Drosophila melanogaster: one gene and its partner. Changing the gene in region 2 together with the main gene of any one other region gives a genetic interaction. Each region holds a gene or a part of one and is shown on either strand. Other genes may lie near its edges.

The links.
Region 1: of Gmap (region 2) and cos, changing one enhances a phenotype caused by changing the other (phenotypic enhancement), as found in Drosophila melanogaster (one study listed by BioGRID).

Annotation. Positions count from the first base shown.
Region 1 is NT_033778.4:7,381,560-7,388,953, forward strand, and holds cos (costa), read right to left. Parts: upstream 5,557-7,394; 5' UTR 5,421-5,556; coding exon 4,769-5,420; intron 4,711-4,768; coding exon 3,999-4,710; intron 3,943-3,998; coding exon 3,524-3,942; intron 3,461-3,523; coding exon 1,638-3,460; 3' UTR 617-1,637; downstream 1-616. Other genes in the region: Dhx15 (DEAH-box helicase 15), read left to right, coding at 5,969-6,021, 6,076-6,869, 7,149-7,394. UniProt on the Drosophila melanogaster protein: Regulates cubitus interruptus (ci) processing by recruiting multiple kinases to promote its efficient phosphorylation.
Region 2 is NC_004354.4:15,485,260-15,490,077, forward strand, and holds the start of Gmap (golgi microtubule-associated protein), read left to right. Parts: upstream 1-1,662; 5' UTR 1,663-1,982; coding exon 1,983-2,216; intron 2,217-2,281; coding exon 2,282-2,374; intron 2,375-4,621; exon of another isoform or gene 4,622-4,818. Other genes in the region: CG6340 (uncharacterized protein), read left to right, coding at 1-9, 73-1,182.

The DNA of each region.
Region 1 (7,394 bases), on a different chromosome or scaffold from region 2:
ATTTGCAGCAGGGTGCCACTAATCCACGGGGGTGGCGACTCCGCACAAAAGCACGGCACACACAAACACAGATACTTTGCTCTGCTCTTGACTATCTTTCAGATACTTTGCATACTATTATTCACTTTTTTGTAGGGTGGTGCACTAGCACCGCTGCAACCGGTTGGCGGATTGCTAATCGCGTACCGCTGCCGTATATCCGTCTATCCGTACCCGTATCCGTATCGGTGTCCCAAAACAAACGCTCACACGCACACACAAATACTCGCACGCTCTCGCGATTCGCCGACTAGCGCTGAAATCCGGTTCTCGATCGCTCGACGGTCCAAACAAGACTGAATCGGATGCTCAGATACTCGCCATCGGATTTAGATACAACGCTTAAACCGGCGCTCTCTCTCTCTCCCTCTCATCCTCTCTCTTTGCGCTTTCTGTGTGTGTGTGTGTCCGAAGGGGCGATTGTTTGGGAAATTTCTGGGACATTTCTCACCTGTTGCCTTGTGGACTGTGTTTGCTTGGATTTCAGCTGCAAATGTAGAACTTAATTATCTTTATAAGACGATAACTATTTTATTTTGAATATAAAACACTGATTAAACACTGATTGATTAGTTTAGTTTGTATATATTTATTTGCTTAACCAACAATATCCACACAAAGCCATGCCGAGCGATTTGGCGGAATATGTATGCTTACAAATGTGTTTATAATTTTTCACACGCTGATATTGAGGGAACATACATACATTAATATCAATTTAAGTTACTCGGAGTACAGTGCAAACTGCATCTATATCAATGGACAATAAAAAATACGTTGTACACAACCAAACAGTATTGAATTTTAATTTTAAGTTAATGCAAAATGAGTATTGGATTAGCGCAAATACTGCGATTTGAAGCATTTATAAGTTGTACAGAGTAAATGCTTTTGATAGAATATTAAAGGTTAACACTTGGGTATGGAGTACGTATGTTGTAATTGGTATCGAAGGTCAATTAAAATTCGAGGGAAGACACAATAGTGTTTACAACTAAGCTAAAACTAACAAAATCAATTAAAATTAAGTGGTTACCTAATAATTATTGTTATGTACAAGTTAAACAATGCGGAGACTTAGGTCAACACTTTGAGCGAGTTTTGTGTACGGTTTGTCTTGCGAGTATCTTAAGTAGCAGGTCAAGTCTTTACGGTTGAATCTCATGAGGATAGTTACTTTCATATGCTAGGTGTATGTACGTGTGGGGGTTTCTAAAATAAATGCTCCCCAGCTAAAGAGCCGGAATGAGAACCATGTGTTGTAGTCTATTTGTGTCATGACTGTGGACGAAACTTGTTCAGTTCTTGTTACCAGGATCTGAGCTATTGCTTCACACTTAAAAAGATATCGAACTCCAGCCACTTTAATAAGTTAAACGACAAGCAGTAAACTAATAAATTCAAGCTGGTATATATGTCGGACTATTGATTAAAATGTATGCATGTATATGGGAGTAATCTGTTATACATTTTTAAGCATTTTTTTATATTATCGCCTTAATTATTAAAGTGGCTGGATTTCAGCTCATGGCTATTAATTGTATATGGCTATTTGGCTTAACCTTATAATATCGTCCTGGAAATGGTTAAATTCGTATTTAGTTTCGACGACTTGCGTCCTGGATAATTATCTTGTTCTTCTGACGCGTCACTTTCGTGGCCGTCGGAGCTGGCATCAGACGCTTCAGCTGCTCCGGCCTGAAGCTGACCAGGGCCTTGTCCTTCACTTTTCCTACGGCTCCAGTGGTGGTTGTCGACGTAGTGGTTGCCGTGGCCGTGGTGGTTGACTCAATCAGGGCCGTGGATTCCTCGGCCGTGGACCCTGAGGAACCGGCTGCGGCAGCTGACGCATATCTGGTGAGCACATGGAACTTGGCAAAGATGTTGCGTCCGCTGCGTTGCTCTTTGTCCTTGTATTTGTCTAGCGCCGAGCCGGTGGGCATCGGCTTTGGCGCTTTGATCAGTGCCTTGCTTGGATTGCCGCCACCTTTGTAGAAATGATCGTAGTCGAAATCACTACTGGCCTGCACCGGCGGGGCGACACAGGCAGGGGCCAAAGCTCGTTCTCCGTAGCTGGCCGAACTGGCCGACGTTTCCTCCGCCATGTGACGCAGCATCAAAGTGAGTTTCATTTCGTGCTGGCGCTGCAGCAGCACCGCATTCCGTTCGCCTTCCAGTCTAGCCTGGCGCACGGCATTGGACAGAACACGCTCCTTCCACTCCCAGGCATCCCGCTCACGCTCCAACTGCACCAGCTGCAGCTCCAGCTTTCGTGAAGAGTCGCGCAAATCGATAACCTTCGTGAAGTATTTGTACAGAAGTGTTCGCATCTCCTCCGTTGAGAGACGATTTAGGCGTGCCATCAGCATCTGTTCTCCCTTCTCCCGCTGAATTCGGTCGCTCGTGTCGATGGAGCGGTGGCCCGTGATCATCTCGTTCTTGAATTCTATGGCCGCATCTATGGCCTCGATGGCCTCATCGCACTCGAGCAGCTTGCGCTCCTCCTTTTGCGTCAGCACCTTGTCCCGCTTAAGTTTGCGGTCCAAATGACAGCGTTCTTCCAACAACAAGTCACGAGTTCCGCGCAAGTTGCGGATCTCATGACGCAAGGTCTCCTGCTGTTCTGGTCCCGGCTGCTCCTCCAGGTTATCCGACTTCTCGCGTAAAATGTGATTAAGGTGCGTAATCCTAGCCTGTACTGCCTTTAACTGGCGGCCTTGTTGCTCGGGAGAACCTTGCGCCTTCACTAGCTCTTTGCCAGTCTCCCTGGATTCTCGTAGTTTGGCCAGCTCCGCCTCCATCTGGCAGCGCAGCTTGCACTCCTTTCGAAGCTTTTTCTGTAAATCATCGGCCTGTTTTCGCGACTCGCCCACCGATTGCTGTAGCTTCTTCACCTTCTGTCCGCTCTCACCCGCAATATGCTTCATTGAGCTGAGGTCTTCTAGTCGACGCTCGAGATGTCCGATTATCGTGGTCCATCGCTCAATCTCCGACTGATCCCGGCCTTGAACTAGCGCCTTACCTAACTGCTTCTTGGCCTTGTCGCACTCGGCCTCAAGTTTGGCACGTTTCTTGTGAAATCTTTGCTTTGCATGGCTGCGTGTATCGCTGTTCTTGACCAATTCGGCGATTATATTTTGTTTTACCTGGATTGTCTCTTCGATTTCCCGTAACTGTCGTTGCTTGCCCTCGATCTCAGCGACCAGTTTGCGCAATTTTTTCTGCAGCTGTTCAATAGGAGCAGTGGCGGCGGCGGCAGCGAGAGCCGCCTGACGGATTCCTTCGCCCGAAGAACTTTCCAGAGGATCGACGACCGACTCAGGATCGATGGGCGGAGGCGGCTGCTGGGAAGCTACCCGATTAAGCATGGCAAGCTCAGCAGTACTTAAGCTAGCACCTGGCTGAACACTTCTCCTGCGACCTATTAAAGCAAGGAATCAACATGTTACTGTATAAAAAAATGTTATTCAAGGCAAAGACTTACTGCCAATGCTGACTTTTCGATCATCACCATTTTCTTCTGGCGGCTGTGCCTCAATCTCGCGGTCTTGGCTTTGCATAACCGCCTTCGGATGCTTGGATAGATATTCAGCGTGTTTTTCAAGTATAAGAGCGTCTGTTTTGTCGCGAAACTCTTCCATTAGACTTTCTATCTTGTCGTCCAGATCGGGCCGATGCGACTCATTGTCTGTGTCGTTTTCGTTGTCGGAGTTTGGCGACTCCGAATTGGCTGCTTCAGAATTCACGTCCTCGGGCTCCTCGGCCTCCAGAATGGGAACCAACTGTTTTTGCTGACGCATAGCCTCTGTTGAGCTGAGACACTCCTCGCACTCCTGCTTGAGGAAGAGCCACTCCTCGATCTGCTCCTTCTCCACTTCAGTAATTAGCTTGGAGTCTATCAGCCTATAAATTTCTTTTGTCGTCAAAAGGCCCACATCGGAAATAATGTGTACACTTACTTGGAAAATAGCCCCTCGGCGTTGGTAACTAGTTTGGACCATTGGCTTGCTGCGAATTGTAGGCCAAAGTTGTCCCCTGGTCCCGCCTGCGACAAGGGTCCAGCAGAGGAATTGGATTCGGGAACAGGCTCAGCCGGCTGAACGATCATCGTGTTGTCGTCGGAGTAGGTGTTCATAATTACAAAATTACGTACGCACTGCACCTTAAAGGCGAACTGCAGGTTGCCAAGAGTTTCGGGCAAGTGCTCTTCCAGCGGTGACACGCACAGGATCACGAGCGTCTGAGCCCGTCCGCCGAACGAGTCCTTCAGGAGAGTGGTGAGCGTGGTCTGACCGTACGGAATGTTGCCATTAACCCCGTACATGAGGCCTGGATCTGTGAGAGTACTGATCACCTGCTCCAGCATACACAGGCCAGCATCGAGAGGACGTCCCGGTGGCTGGTCTCCACATCTCTCTGTGCCGCAGAGATCCGAGAAACTGGCCGTGGACAAGCGGTGCTGCAACAGCCCCTCCTTGGACACCCACTGCTGCTCCAGGGTAAGCGTGAACAGGGTGTGCGCCGGCAACGATTGGCGGGCCGACAGACCCACCTGCAACCAGTGGAAGACGGCATCTACGTTGGTGCAGTGTATGTTTCCCATGCCCAACAAGTCGCAGACATCACCTCCGCAAATTTCCACGAATCCCACGTTGATGGCATAGGTGCGTTCTTAAAGTGAAAATGGAAATGGATAACTATGCTTATAAGATCCTTTTAGTAAACTCACCTGGGTGCAACGATATGTGTGAGAAAATGTCACGGACACAAAGTTGGACGACTCCTTCGGTGGAATCCGTCAGAGTAGGGTCCTGGACGTTTCCGTAGAGTGTGTAGCTTTTGCCCTGGCCCCTCTGGCCATAGGTGACTACAGATGCGTCGAAACCTTCCAGGAACAGGGTGATGAGCGGAAAGACCGTCTGGTGGTACACTTGCTCCTGGGAGCTGCTGCTGGGCAGGGCGTGGGTGACCGGAACCGTGTGGGGACCGACTTGTATCAGTCCAGCTGCAATGCTGTCCATGGGATCTCCGCCTGGCAGGGCACTGGGCAATCCCAGGGCCGAAGCGCTGATGGGAATAGCCTGAACGCAATATGCGGAGTCTGGGTAATCCTTCTGACCACTGTCGTTGCCATTGGCATCTGGAATTGTCTTCGAATCGGCCGCACTGTCCTGCTCAGCATTCCCGTTTGGGTCCGTCTCTGAAATTGACGGATTGTCCTTCTCAGCCGCCGGAACTTGAGCCTCGGAGTCCTTGGAGTCCGCCCCCTCATCCACCGCCTGCGCATCCTTTTTGGGCTCTGTGGGGCCGAAGCTCCTCAACAAGTCCTTGAGCTCTCTATGCGGGAAGATGCGCACCGCTACCTGAATGGGTATTTCCATGGTGGTTAGGCAACTAGTCCTGGTCTCGCAGGAGCTCTTTCATTCGATATCCTGCTCTTTGTTTCGCATCTTTGCGCTTTCAAATACGTGCAAAAATTCAACTCCCTCCGAATCGATACAATGTGATAGTGTGGCCGACGCTAAAGCGCCAACCCAAGCCGAAAATACCGAATCCATGTAACAGTTTGTTACTGTAAAAATCAAAATCAGTTTCCAATCAAATTGCTGTCAAATGTCAATTTTAAGACTGTGAGCTCACAACTATTCTTCAAACTGGTGAGTAAAACCGAATTCTATAGATAGATTCTCGTCAAAAGACTTAAGCTTGAACTGCTGTTTTTTTTTAAATGCCAAATTGCTGCCGTGCTGTTGGTTGTGATCTTCGCTAACCATGGGCTTATATAGTATACACAGACAGTAAACTTTGGTATTTTAAAAGTTGCGATCAGCATGGTCGGTATATGCTAAAGGTCTCACTGAGCGCGTGTTTTTTTTTGTGCTAAACGCTTCGTTTTGAGAATTAAGTGCAGTAATCACCATAAATTAGCATGTCCAAGCGTCGAATCGAAGTGGGGGAGACCTACGGCAGCAAGGCGAAGAAGTAAGTGACCCGAGGCCAACATACGGCAGTAATGTAACGCTCCTTTCTCACCAGGGACCCGGAGGCGTCCTCCTCGTCGGCGGCAGCCGCTGCCGGCACAGTGGCTCAAATCCTGGGCGGATTCGTGCCCAACAAGCAACCGCCCACGATGAACCCGCTGACCAACACGCCGTACTCACAACGGTACCAGAATCTCTACAAGAAGCGCATTGCGCTGCCCGTGTTCGAGTACCAGGCGGACTTTATGCGGCTGCTCAGCCTGCACCAGTGTATTGTGCTGGTGGGCGAGACTGGCTCCGGCAAGACGACCCAGATCCCGCAGTGGTGCGTGGACTTCGCAGTATCCAAGGGGCGCAAGGGAGTCTCCTGCACACAGCCACGTCGAGTTGCCGCCATGTCCGTGGCCCAGCGCGTTTCGGAGGAGATGGACGTAAAACTGGGCGAAGAGGTCGGCTACTCCATCCGTTTCGAGGACTGCTCCACGGCCAAGACGCTGCTCAAGTACATGACCGATGGTATGTTGTTGCGCGAGGCCATGTCTGATCCCATGCTGGACCAGTACCAGGTCATTCTGCTTGACGAGGCTCACGAGCGGACCTTGGCCACTGACATTCTAATGGGCGTGCTCAAGGAGGTCATTCGTCAGCGCAGCGACCTTAAGCTGGTGGTCATGTCCGCCACACTGGACGCCGGCAAGTTCCAGCAGTATTTCGACAACGCACCGCTCATGAAAGTGCCCGGTCGCACACATCCCGTGGAGATCTTCTACACGCCCGAACCAGAAAGAGATTACCTAGAGGCTGCTATTCGCACGGTAATCCAGATACACATGTGCGAGGAAATTGAGGGTAAGTTGGTAAATGAGTTTAGCTTGGAGTTCATTTAATAGCTTGCTAGTTCATTGTTCTAAGAAGCATTTATCGATCATATGTTTACAATGTAAAAGTGCCAGGCAAAATATAAACTTTCCGAGTGCCGAAGGGCGGCAAATGCTTCGTATTTGCTTTAATGGTATTGTAATCATTCAAGTGTTTACGACTTTTGAATATGATCCTATTCAATGCCGGAAAAGACGCATTCGCTTTTTCCATTGTAAACTAAACCCCAACTTGATTTTGCTACTCTAGGTGATATCCTAATGTTCCTCACGGGCCAGGAGGAGATTGAGGAGGCTTGCAAGCGCATCAAGCGCGAGATCGACAATTTGGGCTCAGAAATTGGAGAGCTGAAATGCATTCCCCTGTACTCGACGCTGCCGCCCAATTTGCAGCAGCGCATCTTCGAACCGGCCCCGCCGCCAAATGCTAATGGCGCAATTGGACGCAAGGTCGTGGTGTCCACCAACATTGCCGAAACCTCGCTGACCATTGACG
Region 2 (4,818 bases):
CACAGCAAGGTGAGACAGAGTCCTAATCAACTCAGCATAACTCAGCCAAACTAATGTCTGTGCTATTTACAGGGCGACCATCGCCACCATCGTACCAAAGACGGCGACAGCCACAGAGAGCGGGAGCGGGATCGTGACCGGGAGAGGGAGCGAGATCGCGACAAGGATCGGGACCGTAGGCGTTCGGAGAAGAGCAGTCGCCACCACAGTGGCAAGGAACGCCATCATCATCATCACAACAACTCATCGTCAGCCGCCGCTGCAGCGGTCAGTGCAGCATCAGTCCGTCGATCCCATGATGAACGCAGTCGTCGTCGCCGGGACTCTCGATCCGGTTCCCGCACACCAACGGGCACGCCGCCCTCTCGTCGCCGCCATCAGTCGCAACAGTCACGCAAATATCGCGAACGCGACTCCAGCAGCCGCTCCAGATCTCCGAAGGAAGAACAAGCCACAACACTTCGCGGTGGAGCTGTGGCCGGATCTCATATGCTGCTCGCTAAATCAGGCGGCGGAGCAGGATCAACGGCAACTAATGCAACAGCAGCGGCGAGGGTTGCAGCGGCCGCTCTGGTAGCTGCCAATGCAACAGCCGCAGCCATGGCAGCCGGTTCATCCGGCGGCGGTGGCGGCGGTCTCCTGCCCACGCCCAACTATGCGCCCAAGATACCCTCGCTGATGTCCTTGGAGCTGAGCACACCAGCGGCAGCAGCACCAGTCGCAGAACCCATCCAGCTGCCCAGTTACTACAATCCGAGCATCATCAATGCCAATCGCTATGCGGAGCAGCAGCAGAAGCGCAAGCTACTGTGGGGCTCCAAGAAGAGCGAGAACTCGGCGAACAAGTGGGGCAACGCGCACTTCTCCCAGGACTCCGACGGCAAGGTGGCCTCCAAGTTTATGCGGCTCATGGGTATCAAGAACGCTGGTACGTCCGGCAATGACGATGGCAAGGGCGGCCAGGCGGAGTCCACCAATGGAAGTGCAGCAGGCGAGGGAAACCGCGCAGTAAGAGGTGCTGCGCCATCGGGAGCCGCTGGCGGAACGAAAGTGCCCACGGACGTGCAGCAGCGCCAGCGCATGTTCTCCAACATGGAGCAGCAGTACGAGATGGCGCGAGCCGCCACACACACGATGCGTGGCGTGGGGCTTGGTTTCGGCTCCCAGCCACGTACTTTCTAGAAGGGATCGGAACGGAGGAGGATCGGCTCCCTGCCAGGCTGTAAATACCATGCCACTCACTCAACTCATTAGTCAGTCAATATGTTTCTCCTCAACAACTTTTTGTTTGTGTTGAGAAAATTTTTTGTTTTTTTGATTTCAAATAAACGTTGCAACAGAATTTATGAAGTGACGTGGCTCTCTCTTTGGATTTGCTTGGGATAAATGCGTCGTTAGGTAGACTTTTAGTCTACACTATTACTAAGTATGCTAAGAGTATCCAACTTTAACTACAAAGTTCAGCGGCTCTAATCGAAGAATGCTTGAATATTCAATAATAAATAAAGGTATTTTTTTTTACAATAAACAATTTTAAATTTTGGCACTCTGTTTAGTAGATGTCAGTTTTTTGCCATGCACCTTGGCGGTCGGTCTGCCTATCGCCAATCGATAGCTGACCAAAAACAATAACAATAACAAAATCAGCTGACGATAGGACGTCGGATATCGATACCATATCACAAACTAATAATAAAAATAATAATAAATAAGAGAATTAATACTACTAGAACACAAACAAAAGCATATAAAGCTTACACATCCTTTATTAAAACAAACAGCCAAATTGGATTTAAATTGTGGAACGAAGCAAACAGAACCGCTTGAGTTTGTGCCACTGCCACGCAAAAAAAATTATCGTTTCCAAAAAACTAAGCATACTTCATCCGAAATTAGCAATCAGCTAGCCAAAAGCGGAGTGATCTCGTCGAGAAGAGCCACGCCCCCTATCCGCCCACGCTGCCCAGAAGAGAGCAGCGAAGATGTCGTGGCTGAACAGCAGTCTCAGCCAGCTGAAGGGCCAACTAACCAATCTGGCGCAGGAAGTTCTGGCCGAAACGGCAGGACCCGGCGACTTGGAGTATGAGGGACATCAAGCAGGAGGTGCTAGCGTCCAAGACGCCGAGCAGCAGGCCAAGACAGCCCTGGAACTGCTGGCCGAAACCCAGGAGCAGAAGGAGCAGCTGGACAAGCGGTGCGAGGAGAAGGATCGTGAGGTAAAGCCAACTCACAGTCACTTTTGCGGCTTCTTCACCAATGGCCATCCGATTGCCCCTTTCAGATAGCCGCCCTGCGCCGAGAACTGGCCAAAAGCAAGCAGAAACAGGAATCCCAGCTGGCAGCCAGCACATCAGCTACGCGGGAACCGCAGTTGGTAAGTGACGTTTGATCCGAGGGACCTGCAGCTGGCCCCCATGTGGCCATGCCACATCCGGTGCCCACTCCGTCTTCCAGGAAACATTGCACTCCGGCGTGGAGTGGTGTTTGACCGGCTTTATCTTTCAAATAAGCGATAAGCCCAGCTCTCGCGCTCTCTGTTTCGCTTTTGGCCACATATCCCTGAATTAATATTTAAACTGCGATAAGCTAGGAGTCGGCACTACCCTAGTTTTATCTGCACTTCTCGCGTTTACCTGATGCCACATTGTATGCTTCACACGGAGAGAAAAATGGTTGCAGTGGCATATTGTTGTTTTCCGTGGCACGATTACAAAGCGCTAGAATTCACCGATTTCTGTTTTGCCAACAATTAAAGGGGGGTTTAAAATAAGCCAAGTTCTCGATTGCAAAGAATGTACTAATAGTATGGCAGGGTAAGCCATATTTCATTAGAGCGTCTTGAGCTTTCGGATTAGCAATCTAATGCTAAAAACGGTTTTATATTAACTTTCTCCTGGATAAATTTGAATTTGAATTTAAACTGATTTTTCATTTGACATCCATTCACCTTTTTCCCCGTGCAACTTCTATTTGATTTCACATTCGGTGGTGTTTGGTGTCTGCTATTTGCCTGGCTGTCATAAATCCCTGGTCTCCTTTTCGATCACCCCATATGCCTGTTAGCCTTATCTAGGCGTGCTGCTAACCCTATCGCTCCATAGCCCTCCGTTCGCCAACTGCTTGTTCAATTTACCGAATTATTTCTGATTAGGCAAGTTACTGCAGCGCAACCCCAAGTGTCTGATATTCCCGTTGAAAATGCAGGGTGACGGGGTTGCATTTGGAGCCATTTGGTTTGGTCACTGGGGCGATGGAGATCTTTCTGAAGCACAACTGTACCAGATTTTCCATAGTCACCTTAAATATAAAAAATATGGCTTTTCACATTGTAGATCTAGTTTTAAAATACTAAATGACATGCATATATAACCATAGCGTTAGATGTTATATTTTTTTCGAAATGATTGAATTACTCTTTGGCAATTTTATTAGAATCGTAGATACTTTATTTAATTCTTAAAATAATGAACCATTGTATTATGATCTAAAGTTCAAATCGATCGCATTGCCAGTAGGTAAAAAATTAGAAATCCCAAAGACTTTACAATATGGATTACGAGTATACTTTCAAACTGCCTGCTTTTTGAAATTTACGGTTCTTTTAATATAATATAAAGTTTTGTAGTTTTTTGTTCATTAAAAATGCTTTTAAAATTGATTGTTTAAAAAACATCAAAATATTTTAATCAATTTATAATCAAATACAATATGATATATATTTATGTTAATTTAACGTGCCATTATGATTTGCCAGATTTTTATTTGCTCTAAATCCGGTTTTGGTTGCAGCTTAAATTGGCAAATTGATCTTTCTAGTTTCGGCCATCATTACTCATGTTTTATATTTGTTTCTGATTAGCTAATCGATTGTGTAAAAATGAGTTCCTATCAAACATGCGAAGCATAAATTATGAGGGAAAATTGCATCATTTAGTACGAATATTCAGAGATAAACCATAAATACTCATTCCTTATCGGAGCTGGCGAAATCTGAACAGTAAGCAGTTGGAAAATCGATACGGATATCTGATACATATATATAATTCTTTCATGTAAGCGATTTTGATCTATTCTTTTAATTTAATGTCGATAGATGAATGGTTGCTCTAGTCAGCTAATTCAAATCTTGATCTTCTTGAGTAAGATATGACTTAATCGGCTCAAACTTTCATCATTTCATCATTTGATTTCTATATATGTGGATATATGTTTTCCCAGATTTTTCCTTCTGGGCTATCTCGCATGTACTATCTAAAGATAGCCATATCTTTTGGATCGATAGTTGGGTCACCATATTGTTTTGCATAATTGCGCCAGGCGACCGGCGATAAGTGTGCCCTCGTCCCCATCTCCATCCCCATTCCCATTCCCATTCCCATTTTCATTCACATCCCTCATGGCCCACCTCCACTGCCACTACCAACTCCTACTCCTCCTTCGTGAATATGGCAATCTGCTCCTGCCAACCATTATCATCCCCATTAGGCGGGCATTTGGGACATCTGCATGGCACCATGCTCGGGTTATCTTATCCGGGCCAAGCTGGCCAGGATCGAGGGGGTTGGTTGGCTGGATTGCCTGGATCCGGGGGCCTATAAAAGCCCGGTTCACCTGCTGGCTGGCATTCATTCGGTTCCGTGTGATCGATTCACGTAGGCCCGCATAAAGTGTTAATTTCTACTCAGTTTCTTTCTCATTCGGTGGGCACAGTTTTGGCCTGAAAAATTACAGAAAAGAAAAAACGCAAAACAAACGCGATTTGCATTTGAAAATCGTGTGAAATTTTCCTCCAAAAAGAAGGTCAATTTTTCTTAACAT